Ovis aries: one gene and its partner. The main gene of each other region encodes a partner of the protein of the gene in region 2 in a complex. Links are inferred from orthologs where the notes say so. Each region holds a gene or a part of one and is shown on either strand. Other genes may lie near its edges.

What was found. The genes of interacting proteins can lie anywhere in the genome.
Region 1: the proteins of ESPL1 (region 2) and PTTG1 are in contact, whole or in part, in a cryo-EM structure (PDB 7NJ1), measured with the Homo sapiens proteins. The link is inferred for Ovis aries from reciprocal best matches to the Homo sapiens genes ESPL1 and PTTG1. Residues at the interface, in NP_036423.4 of Homo sapiens: His402, Thr405, Val406, Tyr409, Ser461, Asn462, Tyr465, Tyr468, Arg505, Arg508, Glu512, Glu544, Thr547, Phe548, Arg551, Gln590, Lys593, Ala594, Val595, Arg596, Thr599, Gly600, Arg603, Gln634, Cys637, Tyr638, Trp683, Ile686, Glu690, Ile697; in NP_001269311.1 of Homo sapiens: Tyr111, Pro112, Glu113, Ile114, Glu115, Lys116, Phe117, Phe118, Pro119, Phe120, Asn121, Pro122, Leu123, Phe125, Glu126, Ser127, Phe128, Asp129, Leu130, Pro131, Glu132, Glu133, His134, Gln135, Ile136, Ala137, His138, Leu139, Pro140, Leu141.

The regions. Positions count from the first base shown.
Region 1 is NC_056058.1:69,562,627-69,570,726, reverse strand, and holds the start of PTTG1 (securin), read right to left. Parts: upstream 4,356-8,100; 5' UTR 4,244-4,355; intron 3,842-4,243; 5' UTR 3,832-3,841; coding exon 3,741-3,831; intron 2,833-3,740; coding exon 2,648-2,832; intron 918-2,647; coding exon 824-917; intron 1-823. UniProt on the Homo sapiens protein: Regulatory protein, which plays a central role in chromosome stability, in the p53/TP53 pathway, and DNA repair. Probably acts by blocking the action of key proteins.
Region 2 is NC_056056.1:133,206,317-133,212,752, reverse strand, and holds the end of ESPL1 (separin), read left to right. Parts: intron 1-21; coding exon 22-144; intron 145-2,090; coding exon 2,091-2,246; intron 2,247-2,356; coding exon 2,357-2,527; intron 2,528-2,651; coding exon 2,652-2,756; intron 2,757-2,925; coding exon 2,926-3,041; intron 3,042-3,307; coding exon 3,308-3,391; intron 3,392-3,548; coding exon 3,549-3,713; intron 3,714-3,998; coding exon 3,999-4,200; 3' UTR 4,201-4,364; downstream 4,365-6,436. Other genes in the region: PFDN5 (prefoldin subunit 5), read left to right, coding at 5,855-5,926, 6,133-6,235. UniProt on the Homo sapiens protein: Caspase-like protease, which plays a central role in the chromosome segregation by cleaving the SCC1/RAD21 subunit of the cohesin complex at the onset of anaphase. During most of the cell cycle, it is inactivated by different mechanisms.

The DNA.
Region 1 (8,100 bases), on a different chromosome or scaffold from region 2:
AGTGTCATCCTTCACTCTACTTTTCAGTTTTCCAGAACCACTCCAGTCCTTCTTTCTGCCTCAAGATCTTTTGTCTGTTACGGTGCTGGCGCCCAGCCCTACCCCTTCTCCACCCAACTATCTCCTTACATCCTTCAAGCCTCCACTGAAAGTCACTTTATGAGAAAACAACTTCCCTGCTCTTTCAGGCTAGGTTCAGTGCCCCCTAACAAGCCCTGTTTTTCTCCTTGGCTCACACTCAAAGTGAAAGGATTTGTTCAGTGTCTGACTTACCCTCCAAATCTTGGGCTTCCTCAGAGTGGGGCCTGCCTTGTTATCCACTACATCCTAAGCCAATAGCGCCTGGCATACAGTCTACTCTCCTCAATGTGAGTACATTAAAGCTTGAAAAAAGCCGACTCTATTATAGAAAATATTTCAGATACATGTAGGAGGTTGAAGAAGTCAAAAAGCACATGTTCTCACTGGCTATGTGGATTTTTCAGGCTTGCTTTTCACTGTTCAACTTGACATCAAGTCCATTTTCTAAAAGTGGGCTTGCTAGGAAGGCTGTCTGCTAACACTGAACAAGTAATCTCCCCTTGGGTGGTTTTAGCTTTTGAGGACAAGAATGTTTTCCCATCTTTGCTCTGATTCCTCTTCTGAATTAAGATAATGCCTTAAAAATAAATCCACAAGTTACCTGTCCAAAGCACCCCAGATTCAGACAGCCTTGTTATAGTTTTAGATCACAAATCATATTCAGAGCCATATCAACTTACAGTTGAATTGGATCCTAAGAGAAACTGAAAGCTAAAGCATTTGGACAATATCAAAAGAGTACCTAATGGATTGAAGGGAAAGAATTTTTCTATTTCTGGATAGGTGTCATCTGAGGCAGGAACCGAAGTTTTTGCTTTAACAGTCTTCTCAGTAATCTAAAAAAAACCCAAGAAAACATCCATTTAAGAGTGGGAGCCTTGTCAACTGATTAGTACATGAGATTAGAGAGATTCTTCAAGACATGGGATTGCTTCATCATATTTTAAATTTGTTTTCAATTTCTAAGAAACCATAATCCCTCATTCTCAAAATCACATACAAATACAATTCAGCAATCAATTATCATGGCTCAAAAGGTAAGGATGAAATACAAGTATTAGCACCTGTTAGCATAAATCATCAAAATACAGAGCAGAGTCTGTTTTTAGTCGGTAAGTCGCGTCTGACTCTCTTGCAATCCCAAGGACTGTGTAGCCCACCAAGCTTCTTTGGACGTGAGATTTCCCATGCAAAAATACTGGAGCGAGTTGCCATTTCCTTGTCCAAGGGATCTTCTCCACCCAGAGATCAAACCTGAGTCTCCTGCATTGCAGGTGGATTCTTTACTACTGAGTCACCAGGGAAGCCCCAGAGTAGAGTTAATTCAGAGCTAATTGACTCAATCGCCCAACCTAACCTAATAGAAGAGAAAATGGGCATAAATCACCCAGAATAGAAACTAATCCTAGAAGCCATTTTTGGCTTTTGGAAATGTGATTTTCCATCAGTGTTACCTAAATTACTGGGTTAATATTAAAAACCAATTTGTTTTCCTCAAATACACAACACTGAGTAAGAGGCAGTCAAAGACAGTCAAGGACTTTAAGATGCCCACCGTGGATAATTCTCTAGTCTGGAACTGGTAGGCAGTCCATGATGGTGGTGGGCCAAAATGGAAGCTTGTAGCGTCTTGATTTATTCTCACATCACATGTGCATGCCTAGAGGAAATTACTAGGACAAGGCTTCCCACATTTCAGTTCTGTCACATTCTCATCATTTTTGCTATATCCTTGCAATACTTACACTTAGCATTTCTCTTACTCAACTCAGTTTTTTTTAAAAAGACATCTTTATCCTAAAACCACACCTAACAGTTTGACATCAAGTATACTAGTTGTTTTTTTCCTAATACACATTGAAACAATTACTGAAATGCAGTGCTAATTCACATGCTGAAGTCATCTTTCACAGCCAAGTCCTCTCGGTCTAGGATGCACTGCCCTACAGTTTGTAAACACATGTACAAAGGTCAACATGCTACCAAGTTATAACCTACAAAGCTAGTGCTTGCTCTGAAAGGAGGGGAAGAGAATGGCAGCACCTGAGCTGTTATACTAGCATCATGACTTCTTGCAAAGTACCCTCTCTCACAGTACTCAAAAGCTTCCCTGGTGGCTCAGAGGTTAAAGTGTCTGCCTCCAATGTGCGAGACCTGGGTTCGATCCCTGGATCAGGAAGATCCCCTGGAGAAGGAAATGGTAACCACTCCAGTATTCTTGCCTGGAGAATCCCATGAACAGAGAAGCCTGGTAGGCTACAGTCCACAGGGTCACAAACAGTAGGACACAACTGAGCAACTTCACTTTCACTTTTCACAGTACTCACTGGTCTGTTTTAAGACACTTGTTAAAGACAGGTGAGGCAAAAATATTAACCAGCTGCTCCTGATACATGTGATCTCAAGGTACAGAGAAGTCAATAAAGACTGTATGATGATTCTCTTCTGTTAATCTAATTTGCTAGTCTCTATTTCCTTCCATTCACAGAGGAGAGTGTCAGGTAAGATGCCAGTAGTCATTTTAAGAGTCAAAGTGCTTTAGTCTTTAATTATAGCCAACTTTTACCTTTTTGGTAGAGAAAGTTTTCTGTTTCTGTTTGAGCGGTCCATCCGTCTTAACTGATTTTTCTGTAGCTCTGTTGACAGTTCCCAAAGCCTTTCTCGCAGTTTTTGGTAAAGCTGGTGGAGCATCAAACATTTTGCCAACACGTGGTGTTGAAACCTGAGATCTCCCATCCAAAGCTTTGACTGCTAAAGAAAAAGTCTTACCATAAGATCATTCCAGCAGTAAACACCTGTGCAACTTGAAAGCTGACTGTGCCTATCAACTTGGCCTAATTCTCACAGCCAAACTTAACCCCCATTTTTGACAGTGGCATGGTCCTATGCCTAACACCATTTCAGTTCACTACTCTCTTAAATAATCTCTTTAAGATACTGAACATGAGGGCTTCTCTGGTTTCTCAGTAGTAAAGAATCCACCTGCCGATGCAGGAGACGGGGGTTTGATCCCTGATCCAGGAACCCCCACATGCCACAGAGCAACTAACTCCATGTGCCACAACTATTGAGCCCACGTGTCTCAACTGCTGAAGTCAGCATCCCCTAGAACCCATGCTCTGCAACAATACAAGCTACTGCAATGAGAAGCCTGGGCATCACAAATAAAAAGTATCCCCTACTCATCGCACCTAGAGAAAAGGCCAGGTAGCAATAAAGACCCAGCACAGCCAAAAATAAATAAATAACTTAAATTTTAAAAAAAGATACTGAACATGAAGAGACCCATAAGTACTCGGCAGTAAGAGTATTGGGTAAACTCGACTCCCACTGGGCTTCCCAGGTGGCGCTCGTGGTAAAGAACCCGCCTGGCAATACAGGAGATTTAAGAGACTCCGGTTCAATCCCTGGGTCAGGAAGATCCCCTGGCGAAGGGTATGGCGACCCACTCCAGTATTCTTGCCTGGAGAATTCCATGGACAGCAGAGCCTGGCGGGCTACAAAGTCCATAGGGTCGCAAAAAGTCGGACATGACTGAAGCGACTTAGCACGCACGACTCCAACTGCCCACAAAGTATATTTGGGCCTTCCCCAGCTCCAAGCCACACCCACCACTGATTCACAATACCTGTGTACCTGATAGCCGCCTGTATACTTACAAGGCACAGACCCCAGCTTCAGCCCGTCCTTAGGAGCCACATGGCTGCCTGGTTCTCCATTTTCCTTATCAACATAGATCAGAGTAGCCATTCTGGATCAACTAGAGGTGTGAAACACTCGTTAAACCTTGGGAGTTAGGGAAGATGAAAGAAGCTAAAGTGTAGCACTGACCCAACTTTCTACCCTAGGGACATCTACGCAAAAACAGGAGCTAAGCAGAGGTAGAAGCCGGATCTTGAGCCAACAAGCATTTAACCCAGCTCTTAATTCTTGACGCCTGCGTCAGGGACCCTAAATTCCTTAAGAGTTGGCGGTCTGGGACTGGCACAGGCCCTGGTACTCATTGGAACCAAACTGCCGTGGGTCGCGTACGCAGTTCAAAACCGTGGCTCAAGCCAGGCGAGCGCGTCTGACGTTTCAGGGAAGTCCCAGCCCCCAAATCCCAGGCCCCGGGTCCCAGACACCCGGACCCCGGTTCCCAGGCCCCGAACGCCACACACACACAAAGCCTACTCCCGCTTCCTAAGCCGCCGGACCGTGCCCGCCCAACCACTCGGTACCGCTCGGTTCACCCACATTCGGAGTAACAGCCAAACTCTCGCAAGACTCTTCTCCACCGGACGCGCCAGACTCCGCGTTTAAACCACAACTTACACCCCTATTGGTTCATCCATCCAGGAGGCGGGACAGGGGCGGGGCGGAGGCTCCGGAAGAACCAATGGTAGGAACCTAAGCTCCCTGGGCTCCGCCCTGAAAGCTTTTCCCGGCAAGTTCTTCGTTTGTTCCCCGGGAGGAAAAAAAATCAAAGCCTCTCACAGCTTGGTCGTGGATGTCTATTAATGGTTGTTTTTTAATCTCCCCCCCAGAGAGATAGAGGAGAGTAGGTACAGTCTTTAATTCCAAGAAAGTTATTATTAATGTTATACCAAAATACAGAGTTGGCTTTTGCGATTTTTTTTTCCCTGAGACTCTTTGGTGTGCGACGTGAAAATGAAAGTCGCTCAGTCGTGTCCGACTCTGCGACCCGATGGACAATACAGTCCATGGAATTCTCCAGGCCAGGATACTGGAGTGGGTAGCCTTTCCCTTCTCCAGGAGATATTCCCAACCCAGGGATCGAACCAAGGTCTCCCTCATTTTGAATTGATTCCTTTATCTTGTTTAATATATTTCCATTTACCATAGAAGGGCTTCCCTTGTGGCTCAGCTGGTAAAGAATCTGCCTGCAATGCGAGAGACCTGGGTTCTGTCCCTGGGTTGGGAAGATCCCGTGGAGAACGGAAAGGCTACCCACTCCAGTACCCTGGCCTGGAGAATTCCATGGCAGTCCATGGGGTCGCAAAGAGTCGAATAGGAGGACTGAGCGACTTTCACTTCACTTTACCATAGAAAGGACCTCCCTTGTGGCTCAAGTGGTAAAGGGTCCACCTACAACGCAGGACCCCAGGGTTCCATCCCTGGGTTGGGAAGATCCCCTGGAGAAGCGAAAAGCTACCCACTCTAGTATTCTGGCCTGGAGAATTCCATGGACTATCCATAGGGTTGCAAAGAGTTGGACAGGACTGAGCCACTATCACCTCACTTCACCATAGAAAGGAAAAGGTCACCAACTTTTTAAAGCACAATTTCATTATACTTTAATTTCATTGCAGGCGGATTCTTTACCAGCTGAGCCACAAGGGAAGCCCAAGTCTTTGGTGTCCAAGACATTTTTAAATGAGAAGATAGTGAACTTCAAAAAGTCAAAGTGAGATGGTGACAGAACTATTTTCCTAAAGTCTTGAAGTAATCAACTGTTTTTCCAGAGAGTAGATACACCGGATCAAATTAAAAAGAGGCAGCACGGGAGGAAAGGCATTGTAGTCATTGGGGAAATGACTATGGAAGATGAATTTCAAATTAGAGGTATAAAAAATACATATATAGTCAATAAATAGTCAGTGGGAGGAAAACCCATATTAGATCTAGAGAATATTAACAGAGCACAATTAAACATTAAGAAGAAATGAAAGTACAGATAAAGTGGCAAGTTTGTGTCATTCTGTTGTGTTTGTGATTAAGAATGGAGTGATTCTGAAACTAATACAATATTGTAAGTCAACTAGACTTCAATTTTTTTTAAGTGTACTGATTTTTTCCTAATTGCAAGACTATCAGTATTTCAGGCTAGGATGCTATCTCCATTATACAGAATCTGTTGTTCAGTTGCTCAGTCGTGTCTGACTCTTTGCAACCCTAGGAACAAAACAATGACCTAAGAGTACACAATTCTGAACTTGAAAGTCTATCAGTTAATAAGGACTTTGTTTTTGGCTGCGCTGCGCAGCATTCAGTATCTTAGTTCCCCAACCAGGGATGGGACCTGTGCCCTTTGCAGTGTAAGAGCAGAGTCTTATCCACTGGACTGCCAGGCAAGTACCAATATACTTACTTTAAACCTTTAACATCTCAACAATATATTCATCAAAGCTGGTGGGGAAGGACAGAAGGGTGAACAAGAGAAAAACAACAGAGGAATTATAAAGACATACAAAATGAATTCCAATTTCCAAGACATGGAGAAATTTTGCTTTGAAAAGTTAGTGACCTTTTCCTTTCTATGGTGAAGTGAAGTGAAAGTCACTCAGTCCTGTCTGACTGTTTACAACTCCGTGGATAGTCCATGAAATTCTCCAGGCCAGAATACTGGAGTGGGTAGCCTTTCCCTTCTCCAGGGGATCTTCCCAACCCAGGGATCGAACCCAGGTGTCCCGCATTGCAGGTGGACTCTTTACCAGCTAAGCCACAAGGGAAGTCCTTCAATAGTAAATGGAAATATATTAAACAAGATAAAGGAATCAATTCAAAAGACCAAGGATGATCTGTGCCATCCAAACTCTACTCCCAACAGGTCACCAGATACTTTTTAACTTAGCAGGAAAGTTGGGAGGGAGGAGTTAAGCCTACATTACTCTTTCACCAAAGCCTTAGCACTACAACTGGCATAGATATGTTTCCAAATATATACCAGTTCATTGTCCCTTCTTCCCTGGCATTTCAGGGCCAAAACATTGAATGGCTCATTCATTCAATAAATATTTATTAAATGTTAGTCACTGTGCTAGACACCAAGAGGAGGAAAAGTGCGTATCTTTTTTGCCCTTTCCATATCCTCTTTTATCCCTAGTTTATTAGTTCAGTTCAGTCACTCAGTAGTGTCCGACTCTTTGCAACCCCATGGACTGCAGCACGCCAGGTTTCCCTGTCCATCACCAACTCCCAGAACTTGCTCAAACTCATGTCCATTGAGTCGGTGATGCCATCCAACCATCTCTGTTGAACACTTCTCCTGCCTTCAATCTTTTCCAGCATCAGGATCTTTTCCAGTGAGTCAGTTCTTTGAATCAGGTGGCCAAATATTGGAGCTTCAGCTTCAGCATCAGTCTTTCCAATGAATATTCAGGACTGATTTCCTTTAGGATTGACTGGTTTGATCTCCTTGCTGTCCAAGGGACTCTCAAGAGTCTTCTCCAACACCACAGTTCAAAAGCATCAGTTCTTCAGTACTCAGCTTTCTTTATGGTGGAACTCTCACATCCATACATGACTACTGGAAAAACCATAGCTTTGACTAGACCTTTGTAACCCTCCCATTATTTCCTCCCTATATCTCCTTCTAAGTGCCTCAGCTCTGAATTACATCATTAGCACACAAAAATATTTATATTGAAACCAAGTCTGCACAACATTGAGAAAAAATTCAATCAAGTAAATTTGAAGATCTAATTGGTTTTATTAAATGACTCAAGAATCAGACAGCCTCCCACCTAGAAATCAGAAGGGTGCTCCAAGGGGTTGTACAAACTGAGAAATTTTTAGAGGAAAAAGGGTGGGGCATGGGAGCTATTAAAAGAAAGGATTATTTATAGGCCAGGACCTCTTTGGAGAGGAGAAAGGAAGGAACAGCAAGGTTTTCACAGCTAATTGCCTCTTCTTCCACTGAGAGGCAGAGTGGGGTTGAAGGGATAATGGAAAGGGGCCACGTGCCAGATTACTTCTTCAGTACTGACCGGGAAATTCCCAACTGGTTGGTTGGATTACATTTCTGGTGATAGTATTTTGAAGTTGTGATTAGGTTAGTTATCAAATATAAGTTTTCTATCAAGGGCTTTAGCACAAGTAAAGCCATTTTGGGCCTGTGGCTTTTCTCTTTAACAGCACCTACAGCTTCCAAGTGGGAATTCTTTATCTCCTGATATTTTTGGATGCAAAGTTTCTATCTCCCTAGGCTAAGTCTCCCCTCCTACAATACAAAGCACTGTTTCCCAAGGTAACTGTAAAATGCCACAACCAACTCTTTTGTTTTCTTACTAATGATGC
Region 2 (6,436 bases):
TAGACAACCCCATCTCCAAAGCTTTCTGTGAGTTCGGCCTTGAAAGAGTTTGACGCCATCCAGAAGGAGCAGAAAGAGAACAGCAGCTGTACTGACAAGCGAGAATGGTGGACGGGCCGGCTAGAGCTGGATCGCAGGATGGAGGTGTGTGTTCCCAGTGTGGGATGGGGTTGGGCCTGCCCTAGAATATCTCCTCTCTCAGGGGTCCATCCTAGGTCTGTACTGAACTACCTCAAGTCCTTTCTGGAGGTGTTGCTGTTTTTCAGTTGTGTCAGACTCTTTGCGACCCCATGGACTATGGCATGCCAGGCTGTTCTGTCCTCTACTGTCCCCTGGAGTTTGCTCAGATTCATGTTCATTGAGTCAGTGATGCTATCTAACCATCTCATCCCGTGCCACCTGCTTCTCCTTTTGTCTTCAGTCTTTTCCAGCATCAGGGTCTTTTCCAATGAATTGGCTTTTCACATCAGGTGGTCAAAGTATTGGAGCTTCAACTTCAGTATCAGTCCTTCCAATGAATATTCAGGGTTGATTTCCTTTAGGATTGACTGGTTTGATCTCCTTGCAGTCCAAAGGACTCTCAAGAGTCTTCTCCAGAACCACAATTCGAAAGCATCAGTTCTTCTCACTCAGCCTTCTTTATGGTCCAACTCTCACATCCATATATGACTACTGGAAAAAGCTTAGCGTTGACTGTATGGACCTTTGTTGGCAAAGTGATATCTCTGCTTTTTAATACCCAGTCTAGATTTGTCATAGCTTTCCTTCCAAGGAGCAAGCCTCTTTTAATTTCATAGCTGCAGTCACCGTCTACAGTGATTTTGGAGCCCAAGAAGAGAATCTGTCACTGGTTCCACTTTTTCCCCTTCTGTTTGCCATAATCTTAATTTTTTTCATGTTGAGTTTGAGGCCAGCTTTTTTACTTTCTTCTTTCACCCTCATCAAGAGATTCTTTAGTTCCTCTTCCATTTCTGCCATTAGAGTGGTATCATCTGCATTTCTCACGTTGTTCATATTTCTCCCATCAGTCTTAATCCCTGCTTGTGATTCATCCAGCCTGGCATTTCACATGATGTACTCTGCATATAAGTTAAATAAGCAGAGTGACAGTATACAGCCTTGTCGTACTCCTTTCCCAATTTTGAACCAGTTCATTGTTCCTTGTCCAGTTCTAACTGTTGTTTCTGGAAGTGTAGGCCTAAATAAAAATTATTACTTGGGAACCACGAGCACAAGGGGACTTCCCTGGCGGTCCAGCAGTTAAAGTTCCATACTTCCCCTGCTAGGGGTACCAGTTCAATCCCTGGTCTGGGAACTAAGATTCCACATATATGTGGTGCAGCAAAAACAAACAAACAAAAAAAACCAATAAAACAAAACCAAATAAACAAGAGCCGAAGACTTGAAGGGGTTTTGGCAATGAAATGTTTAAAGATGAGTACAAAATAAGAATTTAAGGCCAAATATCAGCCTCCCAGGGCTTCCCAGGTAGCTCAACTGGTAAAGAATCTGCCTGCAATGCAGGAGACCCCAGTTCGAGTCCTAGGTCAGGAAGACCCCCTGGAGAAGGAATAGGCTACCCACTCCAGTATTCTTGGGCTTCCCTGGTGGTCGCTAAGACGGTAAAGAATCCGCCTGCAATGCAGGAGACCTGGATTCAATCCCTGGTTTGGGAAGATTCCCCAGGGGAGTGCATGGCAACCCACTCCAGTATTCTTGCCTAGAGAATCCCCATGGACAGAGGAGCCTGGCGGGCTGCAGTCCAGGAGGTCTCAAGGAGTTGGACACCTCTGAGCAACTAAGCACAGCAGCACATCAGACTCCCAGCCATAATTTTCATTTCATTTCCTGACTTAGCTTTTGCCCACCTGTTTGTATTTATCCAAATGTAGTGATTTATTACAAATCTTACCTTATCAATACTCTCTTAGAGTCTGAGCAAATGAAAAATGTTTCTCTCTTGCCTTTTATGTTGGTTGTAAGATAAATAAGACACACCCACTCATTGGAAGATGCATTTCCTTGTCTCCAAGAGGGTGGGGAGAGAAACTTGGCTTCTTCCCTCACTGACGGTTCTGTTGTGCATCCAGGTTCTCACCACTTCCCTAGAGAAGTACGTGCTGGGCTGCTGGCGGGGGCTGTTGCTGCCATCCAGTGAGGACCCTGGCCTTGTCCAGGAGGCCTCCCGTCTACAAGAGTCACTACAGCAATGTGGCTGGAAATATCCCGACCCCACTCTGCTGAGAGTGAGTTGAGAAATCAGGGAAGAGGATGAAGTACGCCTTGCCTCTTTCCCACCTGCCACTGCGGGTGGAAAGGGGAGCTCTTGTACTCACTGACCACTGGTCCCCTGCAGATCATGCTCAGCGGTGCCAGTACCCTCACCCCGCAGGACGTGCAGGCCCTGGCTTATGGGCTGTGCCCAGCCCGGCCAGCCCGAGCCCAAGAGCTCCTGGGTGAGGCAGTAGGGCGTCTCCAAGGTCAGATGGCAACAAGCAGTAGGCATCTCGTGTTAGTGCTGGACAAGGTAAAGAGCCAGGGGCCACATGGGTAGCATCTGTGGGCAGTGGGCACTTCCTCTCAACCATGCTCCTCCTGCCTCCTGCATACCCCTGCCTCAGGACAGTAATGTCTGAGTGCTTTTTGCCCAGGACCTACAGAAGCTGCCGTGGGAGAGCATGCCCAGCCTCCGGGCCCTGCCTGTCACTCGGCTGCCCTCCTTCCGATTCCTACTCAGCTACTCCGTCATCAAAGAGGTGTGGGGTTCCGGGAATGGAAGGTGGGAGTGATGGGTAATTGGACAAGAAAAGGCAGAGAGACATCGCAAGAGAGGAAGGTGGTCTTAAGAATGGAAAGGGACTTGGGTTGTTTGAAGCTTGGGTGCTCTGACCAAACTGGGATGCTGATCACTGGGATCTCCATCAGTCCGGGGCCTCATCAGTGCTGAGCCAAGGAGTGGATCCTCGAAGTACCTTCTACGTCCTGAACCCTCACAATAACCTGTCAAGCACAGAGGAGCAATTCCGAGCCCATTTTAGCAGGTCAGGGGGAGAAGAGTAAGAAGGGTGGTGGGGAACGGTAGACGCAACACAGGAGTAAATGTCCTTTTCTCTGGAATCAAATGTTGCAGCCCACCTCCTTCCCAGTGTTCCTTCTGCCCTTTTTGCCACATGACCCATCTGCACCACACAGCGTGTGGGATCTTAGCTCCCCGACAAGGGATTGATCCCCCGCCCCCTGCACTGGGAGTGCAGTCTTAACCACTGCACCTCCAGCTAAGTCCCTTTTCACTGCCTTTTCCCTGCAGTGAAGCTGGCTGGAAAGGGGTGGTTGGGGAGGTGCCAAGCCCGGAACAGGTGCAAACGGCCCTGACGGAGCGTGACTTGTACATGTGAGTGCTCAGGGCAGGGAGGTGGGGAAAGGGACAGTCCCAGAGGGTGGGTATCATCACGGTCTGCTCTGGGGCTTTGGAGCCCCTGACTGACTCTGGACAACTCTGGAGGCCTGGCCCTGTGAGGTCAGTTTCATCTCACCTCCTTCTGCCTCAGCTATGCAGGGCATGGCGCCGGTGCCCGCTTCCTGGATGGGCAGGCTGTCCTGCGGCTGAGCTGCCGGGCAGTGACCCTGCTGTTCGGCTGCAGCAGCGCAGCCCTGGCTGTGCATGGAAACCTGGAGGGGGCTGGCATTGTGCTCAAGTATATCATGGCTGGCTGGTGAGTCTCGAGGGGCAATCTATTCAAGGTCCTGACCCCAAGTGCTTTCCCAGGTCTGAACTCTAAATCCTTGCTCTTTTGTGCCCCATTTTCCTCCCATCCTAGTTCCCTGGCATACTTGGGCTTTTACCCCTTTGTCATCATCTATCCTCCTCCTGGAACTATGGGCCAAGGGGCTTTCTCATTGGTTTAATCCCTCTCAACTCATTCACCACCACAAATCATGCCTGCCCTAGGTTCCGTTTTTGAGCCCTTACTTTGTATTTCTTCCCTCTCTTTTCCCAGCCCCCTGTTTCTAGGTAACCTCTGGGACGTGACTGACCGTGACATTGACCGCTACACAGAGGCTCTGTTGCAGGGATGGCTTAGAGCAGGTTCAGGAGCCCCCCTTCTGTACTATGTCAGCCAGGCCCGCCAGGCTCCGCGACTCAAGTACCTTATTGGGGCTGCACCTGTAGCCTATGGCTTGCCTGTCTCCCTGCAGTGACTCCTTGGAGCTCTCCTGTTGCCGATAGAAGCTATATGACTATTCTACCTCCAAACTTAGGTTTGGCCCTGAAGATAAATATTTTAAGTGATTTTCCCCAGTGTTTTACATGAAAGATTTCGTTTTGATTTAATTTTAATATAATAAAGATACGTTACTTAAAATCCTGTTTTGTGTAGTTTCTCTGAGAACATTTGAAGATAAGATGCCCACTTCCCACTATATGGTTCTATAGATAAGAATAACTTGCAACAGTCCAAGTCTGAGAGCATTGGGAAGAAAGGCGAACCACAGGACCTGGCTTGGCCTCAGCAGACAAAGCTAAAGGAGAGCAGGGCATCAAAATGATCTAAGTGGGGACAAAGCCCTGAGGAAAGGTAGAGATAGATCCATTGAGAATGTCTTGGCCAGGTACACTCATATCTATCTTGACTTCCTGCCTCTGGTATCCTCAGAATGACATTAGCTTTACTGCCTCAGTTGCCCTGCCCCCTCCTAAGTGGATACTGTCCTTCCCCCACATTCAGCTAATACGCTTGTCAGTGCCATGCACTTTAGCAGCAGGTTCTGGAGAGTTTTTGTAGCTCAGATGGTAAAGAATCTGCCTGCAATGCAGGAGACCTGGATTCAATCCCTGGGTCTGGAAGATTCCCCCAGAGAAGGAAATGGCAACCCACCCCAGTATTCTTGCCTGGAGGAGCCTAGCTGGCTACAGTCCACGGGATCGCAAAGAGTTGGACGCGACTGAACAACTCACACACACATACACATTGGGAAGTTTTGCGACTTATGTATGATTTTCCTCTCCCCAACTAGATTGTTAAGCTCAGAACTATGTATCTTACACTCATGGATCCTTCACTTCTAGCACATGGTAAAACACTGTGTTGATTAATAAAGCTACTGCTGTACTGTGGGTGATAACGTGCCTCCTTCCTGTTCTCTCAACCGCCAGACTCTGGCTTCATCTGCGCGAAGCATCCCTTTCATAATGCTACTGTCCCTCCTGTCCGTTGCTCCTAGAACTTCCCAAGCTTCTTCCTTGCCTGTTGTCACCAGGTTTATACCACCGCTGTGGTTATGGTGTTGGGCGGGTTTCCTCTAGTGGCAGGGAGTAGGGGCTACACTTCATAGTGGGTGTGTGGACTTACTTCGGTGGCTTCTCTTGTTGCCGAGCACAGGCTCTAGGCGCCCAGGCTTCAGTAGCTGCCCCTTGCAGGAGCTGTGCTCAGCAGTTGCTGCACAAGGGGCTTTGTTGATCCTTGGCATGTAGGATCTTCCCGCACCAGGGATGGAACCCCTTTCCCTTGCATTGGCAGGCGGATTCGTAACCACTGGACCACCAGGGAAGTCCCAAGGCCTGAGTAAGATTAAGTTTCTTGAGCATAAGAATCCTGTTCGTTAGAACTTGATTATGCGAGGCTTGGGATATTTTGCGAAAAGAAAACGCCGCAGCCCTTTCTATTCCATCGGAAGTCACGCCGAAGATTCCGTACCCTCCGCCCCGCCGCGAGCTTCCTTCTCTTCTGGGTTGAAGGACCATAGAGACGTCTAGCACTGCGAGGCCTCCAGGCGTAGCCATCGAGATACGCAGAGGACGGCTAGAGCGTTGCTCTCCCGGAGGGTTTCCGCTTCATAAGCCCTCCTTCCCAACATGGCGCAGTCGGTTAACATCACCGAGCTGAATCTGCCGCAGCTAGAAATGCTGAAGAACCAACTGGACCAGGTGGGGATAGGCTCCAAAAGCACCCCTTTCCCGCCTCACTTCCCTTCCCCCCCAGCGCGTACTTCCTTGCCCCCCACTCTTCCCCTCTTGGGGAGAATTCCCTTCCCAGGCGAAACCCCCACCCCGTCCCAGGACCCGCCCCTTCTCTGGCAGTGCCCGCTTCTCCCGCGAGCCCCCACCCTGACCCTCATTCCTGTTCTCTGTAGGAGGTGGAGTTCTTGTCCACGTCCATTGCCCAGCTCAAGGTGGTTCAGACCAAGTATGTGGAAGCCAAGGACTGTCTGAACGTGCTGAAGAAAAACAACGAGGGTACGGGGTAGGCGTGCGAAGGGAACCTGGGAGATGTGGCGAGCCGGCTTCTCTCTTCCCGCCTCCTAATCCAGTTTTCTTACCTGAGACGAGAGAGCAGTCCATCACGTATTGTATACCGCTGCAGGAGCCCTTTGCATGTTGCTTATCTAGAGTTGAAATGTCCAGGACATTTTTCTGCTCCTGTTGCCTCTATTTTCG